3 linked regions of the Canis lupus familiaris genome follow. The protein of the gene in region 3 binds, or shares a complex with, the protein of the main gene of each other region. Links are inferred from orthologs where the notes say so. Each region holds a gene or a part of one and is shown on either strand. Other genes may lie near its edges. The genes, in order: MAP2K3, AKAP13 and MAP3K20.

What was found.
Region 1: MAP3K20 (region 3) and MAP2K3 share a complex: the UniProt entries of both Homo sapiens proteins name them as parts of the signaling complex. The link is inferred for Canis lupus familiaris from reciprocal best matches to the Homo sapiens genes MAP3K20 and MAP2K3.
Region 2: MAP3K20 (region 3) and AKAP13 share a complex: the UniProt entries of both Homo sapiens proteins name them as parts of the signaling complex. The link is inferred for Canis lupus familiaris from reciprocal best matches to the Homo sapiens genes MAP3K20 and AKAP13.

What each region holds. Positions count from the first base shown.
Region 1 is NC_049226.1:42,970,380-42,973,603, forward strand, and holds part of MAP2K3 (dual specificity mitogen-activated protein kinase kinase 3), read left to right. Parts: intron 1-2,477; coding exon 2,478-2,617; intron 2,618-3,224. UniProt on the Homo sapiens protein: Dual specificity kinase. Is activated by cytokines and environmental stress in vivo. Catalyzes the concomitant phosphorylation of a threonine and a tyrosine residue in the MAP kinase p38.
Region 2 is NC_049224.1:49,483,868-49,488,254, forward strand, and holds the start of AKAP13 (A-kinase anchor protein 13), read left to right. Parts: upstream 1-1,567; 5' UTR 1,568-1,679; intron 1,680-4,387. UniProt on the Homo sapiens protein: Scaffold protein that plays an important role in assembling signaling complexes downstream of several types of G protein-coupled receptors.
Region 3 is NC_049257.1:17,648,628-17,652,824, reverse strand, and holds the start of MAP3K20 (mitogen-activated protein kinase kinase kinase 20), read right to left. Parts: upstream 2,885-4,197; 5' UTR 2,729-2,884; intron 1-2,728. UniProt on the Homo sapiens protein: Stress-activated component of a protein kinase signal transduction cascade that promotes programmed cell death in response to various stress, such as ribosomal stress, osmotic shock and ionizing radiation.

The sequences.
Region 1 (3,224 bases), on a different chromosome or scaffold from region 3:
TTGTTTCTCACATTTCTGCATTCCGGGCTGGACTAGCCAGGCAGTTCTTCTATGCCACCTGGCTCTGGCTGGGGTCAGGGCTGGGCTGGAAGGTCTGAGAAGGCTTTAGAGATGTGGGGCCTCCACGTGACTTCCTCCGGGCTGGCTGCCCGCTAGCTTCCTCAGAGCGTGGTGCCGAGGGTTACTGAAGTCTTGGGGTGCCTGGCTTCCATGAGAGAAGTGCTCTGAACTGCTTGTCCCAGGACTGGCACAGTGTCACTTCTAATTATGTTGGTCAAAGTGTCATAGGCCATGCCAGGGTCAAGGGGAGATAGAGGCTGTGTCTGGATGGGTACTAGCATGCACACATAGGAGAAGCTGTGTTGGCGGCGTAGGAGACTGGCTGCTATGGTGGAGGTTAGGTATTTCCCCCAAAAGTTACAAAAGTAATAGAAACATTCTCTAAAAACACAGAGAGAAAGTAAAAAGAAGAAAAAAAATCATCATGGTTCCATTCAAAGACACATAGCCCCTTCTCCCTACCATCGAGTGCCAACACCGTGCATTTCCTTCTAGACATTTTGCCTCTTTCTAAAAAACATCTATGGTTTTTATTTTGCTTTTCTCACTTAGCATCACATCACTCATGTTTCTCTGGATTGTTAGAAACCCCTGTAGGCATCTCTTCAAGGGACGCCACAACCATCTGCCACCAGCTACACAGCCAGTCCCTAATGTGGGACGTTTTATTTGTTTCTGTTTTTTTTTCCCTTCCATCTGAAATCCCTGGTTGACCTGGAGGAGTAACCTCTGAGGCACTGGGTGCCAGGCCTGCCCCTCTCGGTGGTTCTCTTTCAGAACCCCCGCCGGGTAGCCCTCTGTGGGCACTTGACCACAGCCACCAACATAAAGACATGGGATGATATTCGGGAAGGCTCTTGACCATAACAAGTATTTGGTCAAGTGCTGATCGCATGAATTCCTGAGTGGGGTCTCCGAGCATGGCCCTCATGGTCATGGCTGAGACTCAGCCGCCCCGTGGCAGGCCAGTCCCTGGTGCTGGGTGTTTAGACTGCTTCCTAATACTCACTGTTACGGATCACACCATACCATGCATTTTTCTGCCCAGAGCCTGTTTTGTTTTGTTTTTCATCTTTTGAGCTCATTAGAAAAAATTACCAGGAAAATGGATTACGGGGTCAAGAGTCTGGACAATTTTCTGTTTTCCTAATTGTAAGTCTGGTAGGACCCTAGGTCCTTTCCTGGAAACCCACACAGGATCCTAACTTGTGCTACTTGGAATCGGTGACAATTCTAGGAAACAGCATCCTGAATTTGTCCTGTGAAACCCCACACCAGATCACAAGCGTGCCTGCCGCATTTTGCACACCCTCCATCTGTGGGGTGTGTTTATATCTTGGCTAGAAAGGGGCCTTTAGCCTAATGGGAAGGCCCTTTCTTAGCACAATAATTAGTAAGCTGTTCAGGCGCCAGTTGCCAACACGAAGCATTTGTTTGAGCTGAGGTCTCTTGTGTTCATTATGGTGATTATGGCCTGTCAGTGAGAAGTCTCTCTGCTGTTTCAGGCGGGGGGCCTGAGCTGACCTGGTTTTTTTTTTTTTTTTTTAAACTCAGCAGTCAGAATCAACCCAGAGTTTGTTGTTAGATAGCTGGTATTTTCCACAAATGACTTCCCACCAACTGTAGGCAAGGCATGTGGCTAGGGGTCTGGCACGGGTGCAGAGGACAGGCGGCCTCAGTGTCCCCTGCAGGGAGTCCAGGGGGTCCGCAGGGAGGGGGAAGTCTTCCCGGAGGAGGGGGCCTTGGAGATGGGTCCTGCTGGCCACTGATGAGGGTTGGGGGGAGTAGAAGGAGCACCTGCAAACCTCAGTGTCTGATGGGGCCCCAGGGGGCCATTGCCAAAGTAAAGGAGCTGACCAAACGCAGGTCTCAGCATCTCCAGCTTCGGGGAGAGGCAGGCTGACGGGGATAATTTCATTTCCCCTTTGCCTGCTCTGGCATAATGACAACTACCCAAATAAACGGCAGCAGATACTTAAGACCCTGTGGAGACGTTAGGGAGGGGTGGCGTGTGGTGAGCGGGGAAGCTGCTGCCTGTCCCACACGCCTTTGCCGCCTTTGCCGACTGCTGCCCTGGGGGACTGTCAGCGCCTCTGATTTTTCCAGATTAGCTGGCACTTGGGTTTTTATGTAAAGCCTTCTGAATTTAGGTTGTTTGAAAGCCTGATGATGCTCAAACCAGTCACAACTCCGGGCTGGATTTGCTTCCTGAGCCAGTGTGTGCAGGCTGGGTCAGAGGAAGCAACGCTTGCTGTTCCCCCGGCTTTCATCTTCGTTTTGATGTCATGTGTCTGCCCCTCAACCTGCCTTGTGGCCCAGCTTTGGGTGGCAAGCCAGGCCAGACAGGTTCCCCAAATGCCCTGCTCCTGGGGGCAGAGTGTGTGCGCATCTGACCAGAGTTACCGCCCCCACTGCAGATTGAGATGGCCATTCTACGGTTTCCGTATGAATCCTGGGGGACTCCGTTCCAGCAGCTGAAGCAGGTGGTGGAAGAGCCATCTCCCCAGCTCCCGGCCGACCGTTTCTCTCCTGAGTTCGTGGACTTCACTGCACAGTGGTGAGTCTGCAGCCCTGCACTGGCTCTGAGACCCCCCCCCCCCCAAGCCCCAGGTGGCACCCTTCCCTACTCTGGCCCAATTCCAGCTCCTCCTGGTGCCCAGTCCCCTCCTCCGTTAGCAAATAACCACCAAACAGCATGGCATCAGAATATGCAAGGCATTAATAGAGCATAAGGAAACTGTGGCAAACTATGGTCCTTGGGGAGATTTTAATAGTCCTTCTAGAGACGGACAGACCAGGCAGCCAGGAAAAGAAAACAAAGAGCAGACGGGGGACTTGAGTAGCAGACAGAGTTGCTTTATTGACGCGTAGAACTTTGTACCAAGGTAAAGAATGCCCATGGGAGCTCTATTTAAAAAATATGTTTGAGATTGAAAAGGAAACAGGGAAAAGGAAGAAGGCAGAGTCATCCAGGTCATGTTCCCTGCCCATAATTACATCAAACAAGAAGTGCGTAACTGCAGAGGGATGAGATATGTGGTAATGCAAAGTAAATTCTTCTGACCAACTCTTGGAGTTGTTTTGTTTTGTTTTGTTATTTTAAGATTTATTTCTTTGAGAGGGAGGGAGAGAGGGAAGGGTGAAGAGGGGCAGAGGGGGAGAGA
Region 2 (4,387 bases), on a different chromosome or scaffold from region 3:
ATTCTGTGAGGGTGAACTAGGAAAATACATGTGAGAACCAGGTCCACCTACAGGGAAGCAGATTTCAGCTCAAGTCTAACTCGTAGTTAATTTCTAAGATTTAAAGCCACCCCACAATGGAAGTGACAGATACACCCAGTAAGTACTCCCATACCCCTCTCTCAGTCCCTGGTGGTAAGCTTGCCTGGATTAGGGTTTCCAAAAAAGAAAGTCATGCACTTCTTTTCTTTCTCTCTTTCTTTCTTTCTTTCTTTCTTTCTTTCTTTCTTTCTTTCTTTCTTTCTTTCTTTCTTTCTTTCTTCTTTCCTTTCTTTCTGCCATATCTTGTGCCAATATTTAAAAAATGAACACAGACAAATACATGTGTAAACTGTGCAAAGTGCACTTAAGTGTAGAGCTGAATGAGTTTTCATGTTTATAACTTTGTTATCCAGCATCTAGATCAAAATACGGAACATTTCCAGCACCCCTCCTCCTTCTCAGCTAATAATCCTTCTACGCCTGGGTAACCACTGTTTTTAGTTCAAACACTATCAATTTGCACGTGCTTGCACTGCATGTAAGATGTCGTTTTTTACTGAATATTTTTCTTTAAATAGATTCTTTTTTTTTATAGCTTTCTATTTAATCTAAGAAATAGCATCAGTGAAATAACAGTCTGATGTGACAGGTATTTTTCTCCTAATGAAACACACTGAAGCACACAGACACAGACACACACACACACACACAACTATCAAAATGAAGTTTCTTCCATTGGTTAATGGACCGTATTTCGTTTCTCAAAAGCCTCCAGGAGGGATTCCCGGAGGAAATCTGCAACTAGCAGATTGTTATGATTTTGTGGTGATGGAGGAGCCAAAAGTTCATGGAATGCACTGTCACCATCCCGATGCCGCCAGCGAGCCATCGCTGCATCCAATGGTCCATCATCCATCGAAAACACTTGTTGCATACCTAACAATGACTCCCAGAGGCACTGACACGCAGAAGACGAAACCCCACGTTCTGGTTGCAAGTGGAAGGAAACAGAAAAGTTAATCATCTGACTATGTGTGTGGTTGGCAACCGCGGCAGCCCCGGTAAGCACCGGCCCCCAGAAGCAAGGCGGTTTCCGGAGACCCGGCGGAGAGGAGAGAGCGGCTGGGCAGCCCCTAGAGCAGCCTCGGCCAGCCGCTCGCTGCCTCGCTCCCTCGCTCCATTGGGGCGCCTTCCCCGCGGCACAGCGGCGGCGCTCACCCTCCGCCTTCCCTAGCAACCTGAACGCACCGCCCACCTGCCTTCCTATTGGCCTCCGGAGCTTGATGGGCAGCTCCGCAGCGCAATCCCACGTCGCAGCCCCCGGCTCCGCGCTTACTCATGGGAGGGCTCGTAGGCGTTGCCGCCCCCCGGGTGCCCCGCCCCTGCCCGAGCCGCCTGTGGCGCCTGCGCGGACGAGCCGGAGCTGTGTGCGGGGCCAGCGCGGAGCCGGAGCAGCCGCCGCGAAGCTCCCGGGCTCCGCCGAGACCGCCGTGCCCGCTCGCTCGCCGCCTCGCCCCCGCCGCCTCAGCCCCAAGCCGCCGCCGCCGCCGCCGCCGCCGCCGCCGCCGCCGGGCGAGCGGCCGCCTATTGTCCTTCCCGGCGGCGAAGGTGCGGAGCTGCTCCGGCTGGGCCCGCGGGGGAGCCCCGGGCGCCGCACGGTGAGAGCGCAACTTAGTTGGCGGAGTTGGGGGAAGTTTTGGGATTTGGGGAGGGGTCGCGGGCGAGGCGCGCGGGCCCCTCCCCCTGCGGCTGCTCGGGGGCCGGGGCCCGGGCGGGGGCCGGGGCGGGGGCCGGGGCGGGGGCGGGGCCGCGGGCGGGCGGGGTGGAGGGCGGTGCGGGGCGCCCCGCGGGCCCCCGCCTCCCCCTCGCGTCGCCCCCTCGCCGCTCATTGTCTGCTCCGGGCCCGCGGCGCGCCTGCCCGCTCCCCCAGCCGGCGCCGGTCCCTCAGCCCGGGAGCCGCGGCCCCTCAGGCTCCCTCCGGACGCCGGGCTCGGCGAACAAGTGCGGCGGGCGCGAGGGAGCGGCTCCCCGGGCCGGCGCGGACGGGCAGCACGCAGGGCCGCGCCCGCCTGTGGGGGGCGCCCTCCGCGGCCGCTCCCGGGCCGCGCGGGTCGGGGCCGGGGCCGGGGCCGGGGCCGGGGCCGGGGCCGGGGCCGGGGCCGGGGCGGGACTGCGCCGCGGCTCAGCGCTCCGCCGAGTTCAAGTGCGGCCATACTTGGAGACCAAACAAAACAGTTTTGGGGGGGCGGGGGGCCGGGGGGGGGCTTGCTATTTTTTTTTTTTCCAAAAACCACTATGAGAAGAGCTTTTTTTTTTCTTTTTTAATTATTATTATTTTTTTATGTGGGGAAAACCCTCAGGTTTTCTTCACCAAAACAGGTTTTTTGGTTTTTTTTTTTTGTTTGTTTGGTTTTGTTTTTGGAAATACGTAGTTTTTAACAGCAAAATGATTTCGTCACATTTAAGTTTTTTATTTTTATTTATTTTTTATTTTTTTATTTTTTTTATTTTTTATTTTTTTATTTTTTTTATTTTATTTATTTTATTTTTTTTACATTTAAGTTTTTTAAATGTTAACTGTGTACTGAGGAATTCACAATGAAAGTTGGATTGAGCAATATTTTGGTGTTCCATCCCAGCTTTTACACTCCTGGGTGAAGTTATTTTGGGAGTTTATCGCCTCGGGCATATACACAACTGGAGGAAAAAGCAGTGTGCCTTTTTATCTTATTCCAGTGCATTTCCACTCCTCCTCCCCCCACCCCCCCCACCCCCGCTTTGTTTTCTGAAGAACCACCTCATTCTTTTTTTCTAAACCTTTGGATTGCCCAGATGAGAACAAATGCTGCATGTAGTTTTTGAAAGACTTTTTTTTTTTTTTGGCAAGTTTCTAAAGGAGTTATGATCAGCTGAGATAAATCACTGTCCTAGTTCTCGTATTCCTTGGGTCTCTTGGTTTGGTTTGAAAAACCAACTTTCTTCACCTGATGAGGCTGAAGGATAGTGTCTGTATGGCATAGCACTGTACTTCTGAGCTACAACAACAAGGTCGCTTTTAGGAGTCACGGTTCTTGCTCTTAGAAGCTTGCCTTCCTGGTTGTGCAGTCGCGTGTGCCTCCTTGGGGTGGTCGCGTGGATGGAAGGGGCTGTCAGGGAGGGACATCACGTAAGCAAATGTTGCTTGCAACAGAATGTGACAAATAGGCCAGTGGCTTTTCTCCTCTGAGCTGTGATGCCATGTTATACATACTTTTGTTTCAGGATTTCTCACAAGCTTCATTTGTTTGCCTAATAGTGTATACGTTAGTATAAATGGACTCCTCCTCTAGACTGTTATCTCCTTGAGGGCTGTTGATGGGCTTTATTTCCTACTTAGCTTTGTCCCTTCTGCCGAGAAGGACTCTTAACGCAGTGCAGGTGTTCAGCGTATGTCTGAATTGGATGAAGTGCTTTGTACTTCATCCAAGCTAGTGATAGTGTGCATAGAACCACGGATTCTGGCAACTTACCCAAAATTGACAGTTCACTTGCAGATCTGTGATGAAATTTATTTTAAAAGGATTTCTAACCCCCCCTCCCTTTTTTTTTTTAGGGAGATTTTATTTGATGAGAGCGAGAGTGAGCACAAGCAGGGGGAGCAGGAGAGGGAGAATCCCGTTCCCTGCTGAGCAGGGAGCCTGATGTGGGGCTGGATCCCAGGACCCTAGGATCATGACCTGAGCCGAAGGCAGACATTTAACCGACTGAGCCACCCAGATGCTTGAAAAGAAGTGAAGTTTAAATAGTGCACTATGGATTTTCAAAAGTGTGGTTCTTGTTTTAGAAGTTTTCTCCCTTTTCTGATGAAATGATTAAGATTGCTGGACAAATCATTTCACATCTCTGCCTATTCTCTTGTGAAATTGGGGAGGTAGTACAGTTTTGAAGAATATATATTTTTTAAGGTAGCTAGGTACATTTGAGTTCAGCTCCCCATACTTCGACTAGTTGTGAGCCTTCAGTGGGTTACTTAAGTCCTCAGAGCTTCTGTGCCCTACCATACAGTGCAGTAATATATTTTGCAGTGTTCTGTGGAACATAGCTGAAATTATGTGAAGTACTTAATGGTGTGCCAGACATTAAGTAGATGCCTCTTACCTGGTAGCTGTAATGATAATAATTTTGATAACTTTAAATGTGATTTGAAGCAGTTTTAAAAGTCTGATGCTTCTGAGTTTAGTGATTTAGCTATTTCTTTCATAAACAAGAAATCCTGAGAATTGTCTTTAGTTGAATGTTTTTTTTTTAAGGAGTTAGTTGAACTGAATGTTCATAGAAACTGTTATCTTCCCATTAACCTTAACGGGTCTTTGGGATTTGCAGAATG
Region 3 (4,197 bases):
GATTCAAACTCGGGTCTGACTTCAAAGTCATATCATTTTTTTCACCACGTCTTTTTTTTCCACTCTATCATTCTGCTCTTTCCTTAAAATCTGTTGGTTTTTTTTGTTTTTTTTTTTTTTTTGGCCTTAAACAAACCGTTTCCTTAATACAGTAATCACTAGATTGCTTATTATCCACCCAAAGTTCAATTTGAGGCTTTAATTTCCTATTAGCATTTGTGATGCGAGGTTAGGGTGTCAATGCAAGGCTGCTTTGTTCTCACAGAATCTTCTACTGTGCTGGGATTATTTAACTGCTATTAGGGCATAATCGATGCTTCAGCTGTCTGTAGGAGGGTCTGACACAAAAGCACCCATGTATCAGGCAAACCAATCTAAGCTCTAGCATTTACAGTTCTCTTCCCTTAACAGGTACAGTTTTCTGGTCACAGCTGGAACTCTGCTTATTTGTGTGTAGTGGGGCAAGGTTAATAGCCACAAAAGAAGTAGCCTAAATCTTCCCTGCAGTAGGACCAAAAGGTGCCTTAGCTATTCCCATTACATTTAGATAGACAAGACACCCTCCCTGTCAATCTGTCCTGGGTAGAATAAAATGGAAAAACAAATGATCCAAATTGATTTTTATTTTCAATATCTCTGGATACAGACACAAGGCTATCTTATTCCAAGAAGTACTGTGTCACCACAAACATCTTTTTCTGGGTTTTTTTTTTTTTTTTAAATCATTGATTCTCTCCTCTCTTTTCTCTGAATCTAACAACTTCTAAAAACTGTCCATTTTTCTCTTTTACTCCACACAAATAGCTTCACTGTATGTCTGACCTCCTTTCATGAAACATCATTGTAATTTCTCCAGTGTTTTCTCTGACTAGATTAATCCTCCAGGCTCCTCATAACTCCTGTTTATAGTTTTGTAGCCCTGTCAAAGTCAGTTTCACTGCTCATTCCAGATAGGCTCTCAGCCAATATATTGCCAATAACACTCACTCTTGTGCTAACTTAAAATACACAGTGCAGCTTGCCAAGTTTCCTTATTTGGCAAGAAGGTCCCTTAGTTCCCAAGATCTTTGACCATCCATTTTTAGATCCAAATCCTCCTGCTTAATATCTGGATATTTCTCTCTCCTTTTCTCTTTTTAATGTGTCTTATGTGTTCCGTAAAAGAGTAAGACGAAGAGATCAGTCATCTCTTTGCTTTCCTAGACAAGAAAAGGATCCTTCCCATTGCACTGTGGTCATTGACTCTAGAATTATCACCACTGTAACTTTTGATTCAAACAGTATTTTCTAGGTCAAAAAAAAAAAAAAAAAAAAAAAAAGCCTCCCAGAAAAGTTATAGTAGGAATTCTGTTGTGAGAGACTAAACTGTACACATTGCTTTATGAGGCCTTTTTCTTAATTTGCTCTTTCCAAACAAACCGGATTCATGTTCATTTGCAATCTCCCAAATCTCTCCCACTGGCCGTAGCAGGAACTTTAAACAAAGGCTCTGCAAACGACCAAAACCATAATTAAAATGCATCCGTCAGACTTTTTTTTTTTTTGAAAAATCAAAAAAACGACGTGAAATTTCACTGTGGAGATGGGCCTGTACTGCAAGCAAAAGTCATGGACTCTCTGGAATCACTTGCTTTTGTCTTTCAACACGTCTGTAGGTTTGGATCCCCTGGATCCCGACTGTTCACTTCAGCCGAGGTCAGCGAAGCAAGAAGGGCTCTGACCTCACGCAGCCTCGGAGCTGAAAGCAGCACCCACGGTAGCAACCACCTCGCACGCTCCTGGACGTGGATCCCGCTACATTCCCAGCCGAGAGCGGCCTGCGGCGGATCCCTGGCCCGGGCCCGGACGCCGGCGCTTTCGTTACTGAAGAAACTAACACAACTACCTCCGCACGAAGTCCTCCCCACCCGGGCTTCTGCGGGCCTCTCGGGGCGCGGCGGGAACACACGCATGCAGCCATCTGGCACGGACGGCGCGGTCTGCGTCCTGCGCGTGTGTGTGCGCGTGCGTGTGTGTGCGTGTGTGCGCGTGCCTGTGCGTGTGCATGCATGTGTACCTGTGTGTGCGTGCATGTGTGCGTGTGAGTGCCTTGCGTGTGCACCTGTGTGTGCACGTGTGTGCGTGTGCATGCATGTGTGCGCGTGTGCGTGCATATGTGTGTACGTGTGTGTGCGTGTGCGTGTGCGTGTGCGGCAGTTCGGAGCCGGGTCGCCGGCCGGGCGTGCTGAAGTTGGTCTGCGAGCTGTCCGGGCCTCCGCGGGGCCTCCGCGGGGCCGAGGGCGGGGGGCGGGGGGCCGGGGCCGGGGCGGCGGACGGGTGCGGGCCGGGGGGCTGCTCGGTGTCCCGCGGAGGCCCGGCGGCGGCTCGCGGAGGCAGAAGGCGCCCGGGCGGCTCCCCCCTCCCCGCAGCCCTCGGCCCGGGGCCGCCCGCGCCTGCGCCCCTCGCAGCCCCGCGCCCCTCGGAGCCCCGCGCTGCGCCTCCGGGGCCGGGTGGGCGGCGGCCAGGCGGGCGCTCGGCCCCGGGGGCGCGGGCCGGGCCAGGGGCCGCGGCGGCGGCCGACGGCTGCGCCCGCCCTTCCGGAGGCCAAGCTCGCGGGGCCCTCGGGCGGCCGCCGGGAGCGCGGGCCCGGGGCGGGGCGGGGGCGGCCGGCGGGGCCGGCGGGGCCTGGGCCGGGTGCGGGTGCGGGCGAGCGCCCCCCGTCGCCTCCGCGGCCCCGCGCGCTCCTTACCTGGCTCCCGGGCGGGGCGCGGCGGCGGCAGGAGCGGCAGCAGCAGCCGGGGCGCCGAGGCCCCGCGCGGCGAGGGCAGGGGCGGGGGGGGGACGGCGGCCCGCGCGGCTCCCACGCTTCCGCCCGAGTCAGGAGTTGAACATTCCGCCTCTCCGCCCGCGCCAATGAGCGAGCCGCCGCGGCCGCAGCACCACCTACCTCGGAGCGCGGGCGGGCTCCCGGCGGCTCCCCCGGCCCGGCCGCCCCGCGCCGCCCCGCGCCGCCCCGCGCCGCCCCGCCCCGCCCCCGGCGGCCGAGCACCTGCCCGCGCGCCCCAGGCCCCGCCCCGGGGTGCCCTGCGCCCCCGGCAGCCGCCCCTCGGGCTCGCGAGGCGCCCCCGCGCCCCGGGCCTCGGCCGCACACCTCGCCCTGGGCCGCCGCGCGGGGGAGCCGGGCCCAGGCGGCGTCGGGCCCCGCGGCCTCGGGCCCCAGGTGGGCCCACGCGGACCCGGGGGCGTCGCTGCGCTTAGGGCCGCACCTGCCCCGGCGGGACCGCCCGCAAACACCTGGGGAAGTTGAGGAGGGGTCCTGGCCCGCCTCCCTGGTTGCTGACCTTACCTAAACGGAGGTCGGACGAGGACGCTAGCATCGTTCCGGGCGTGAGCAAAATGTGGCACCGAGTCTGGGGAAGAAAAGTGTTGACTGGGCGGGATGGTCCTGCGGAGGAAGAGTGGGGCGAGGGTCGCCGAGGGGCTGACGGCGTCATCCAAGGGTTTGAGTTTGCAATTGGGTCATCTACGGGCACTGCGGGAAGTTAGAGTCAAAGGGTTAAAATAGGTGTTTGTGTTTGCCCAGTGGTGGGGGGGGGGGGGGGAGAGCGAGCAGGCCACGTGGTTGCAGGATGCGTTGCTAGGACGAAACTGGGAAGCAGCGAGGGAGGTAAATACTGTCACCACCCGGTCAAGGGGTCGTGCGGGCCTGAGCAGCGCAGGAAATGGAGCTGGGAAAGGGGGGATGGAATTGAGAGACCTGTCTCAGGAGGAGGCCACAGAAGCTGGGGGTGTGGAAGAGAAGGAGGAAAGAGTCAGAGGTGATGCCAAGGTTTCAGACCTGGGTGACTGGAAGAGCGATGGTGTCATTGACAGAAATAGGGATATGTCGGGGAGAAGCTGGCTTCCTGCTGAGTCCGAGGTCATGGGAGGAAAAACAGGTAGAGATGCAGCCGTGGAAATATGAAACGGAGACTCAGAAAAGAGGTCATGGGAGAAAGAGCATCGTAAATCGTCGGTTGAAAACATGAAAGCAGAGGGATGGGTGAATATAAGCTAGAAACACCACTCTCTAGTCTGTTATTTAAATTATCAGGGATCCCTGGGTTGCCCAGTGGTTTGGCGCCCGCCTTCGGCCCAGGCCTGTTCCTGGAGTCCCAGGATCGAGTCCCGCATCGGGCTCCCTGCATGGAGCCTGCTTCCCCCTCTGCCTGTGTCTCT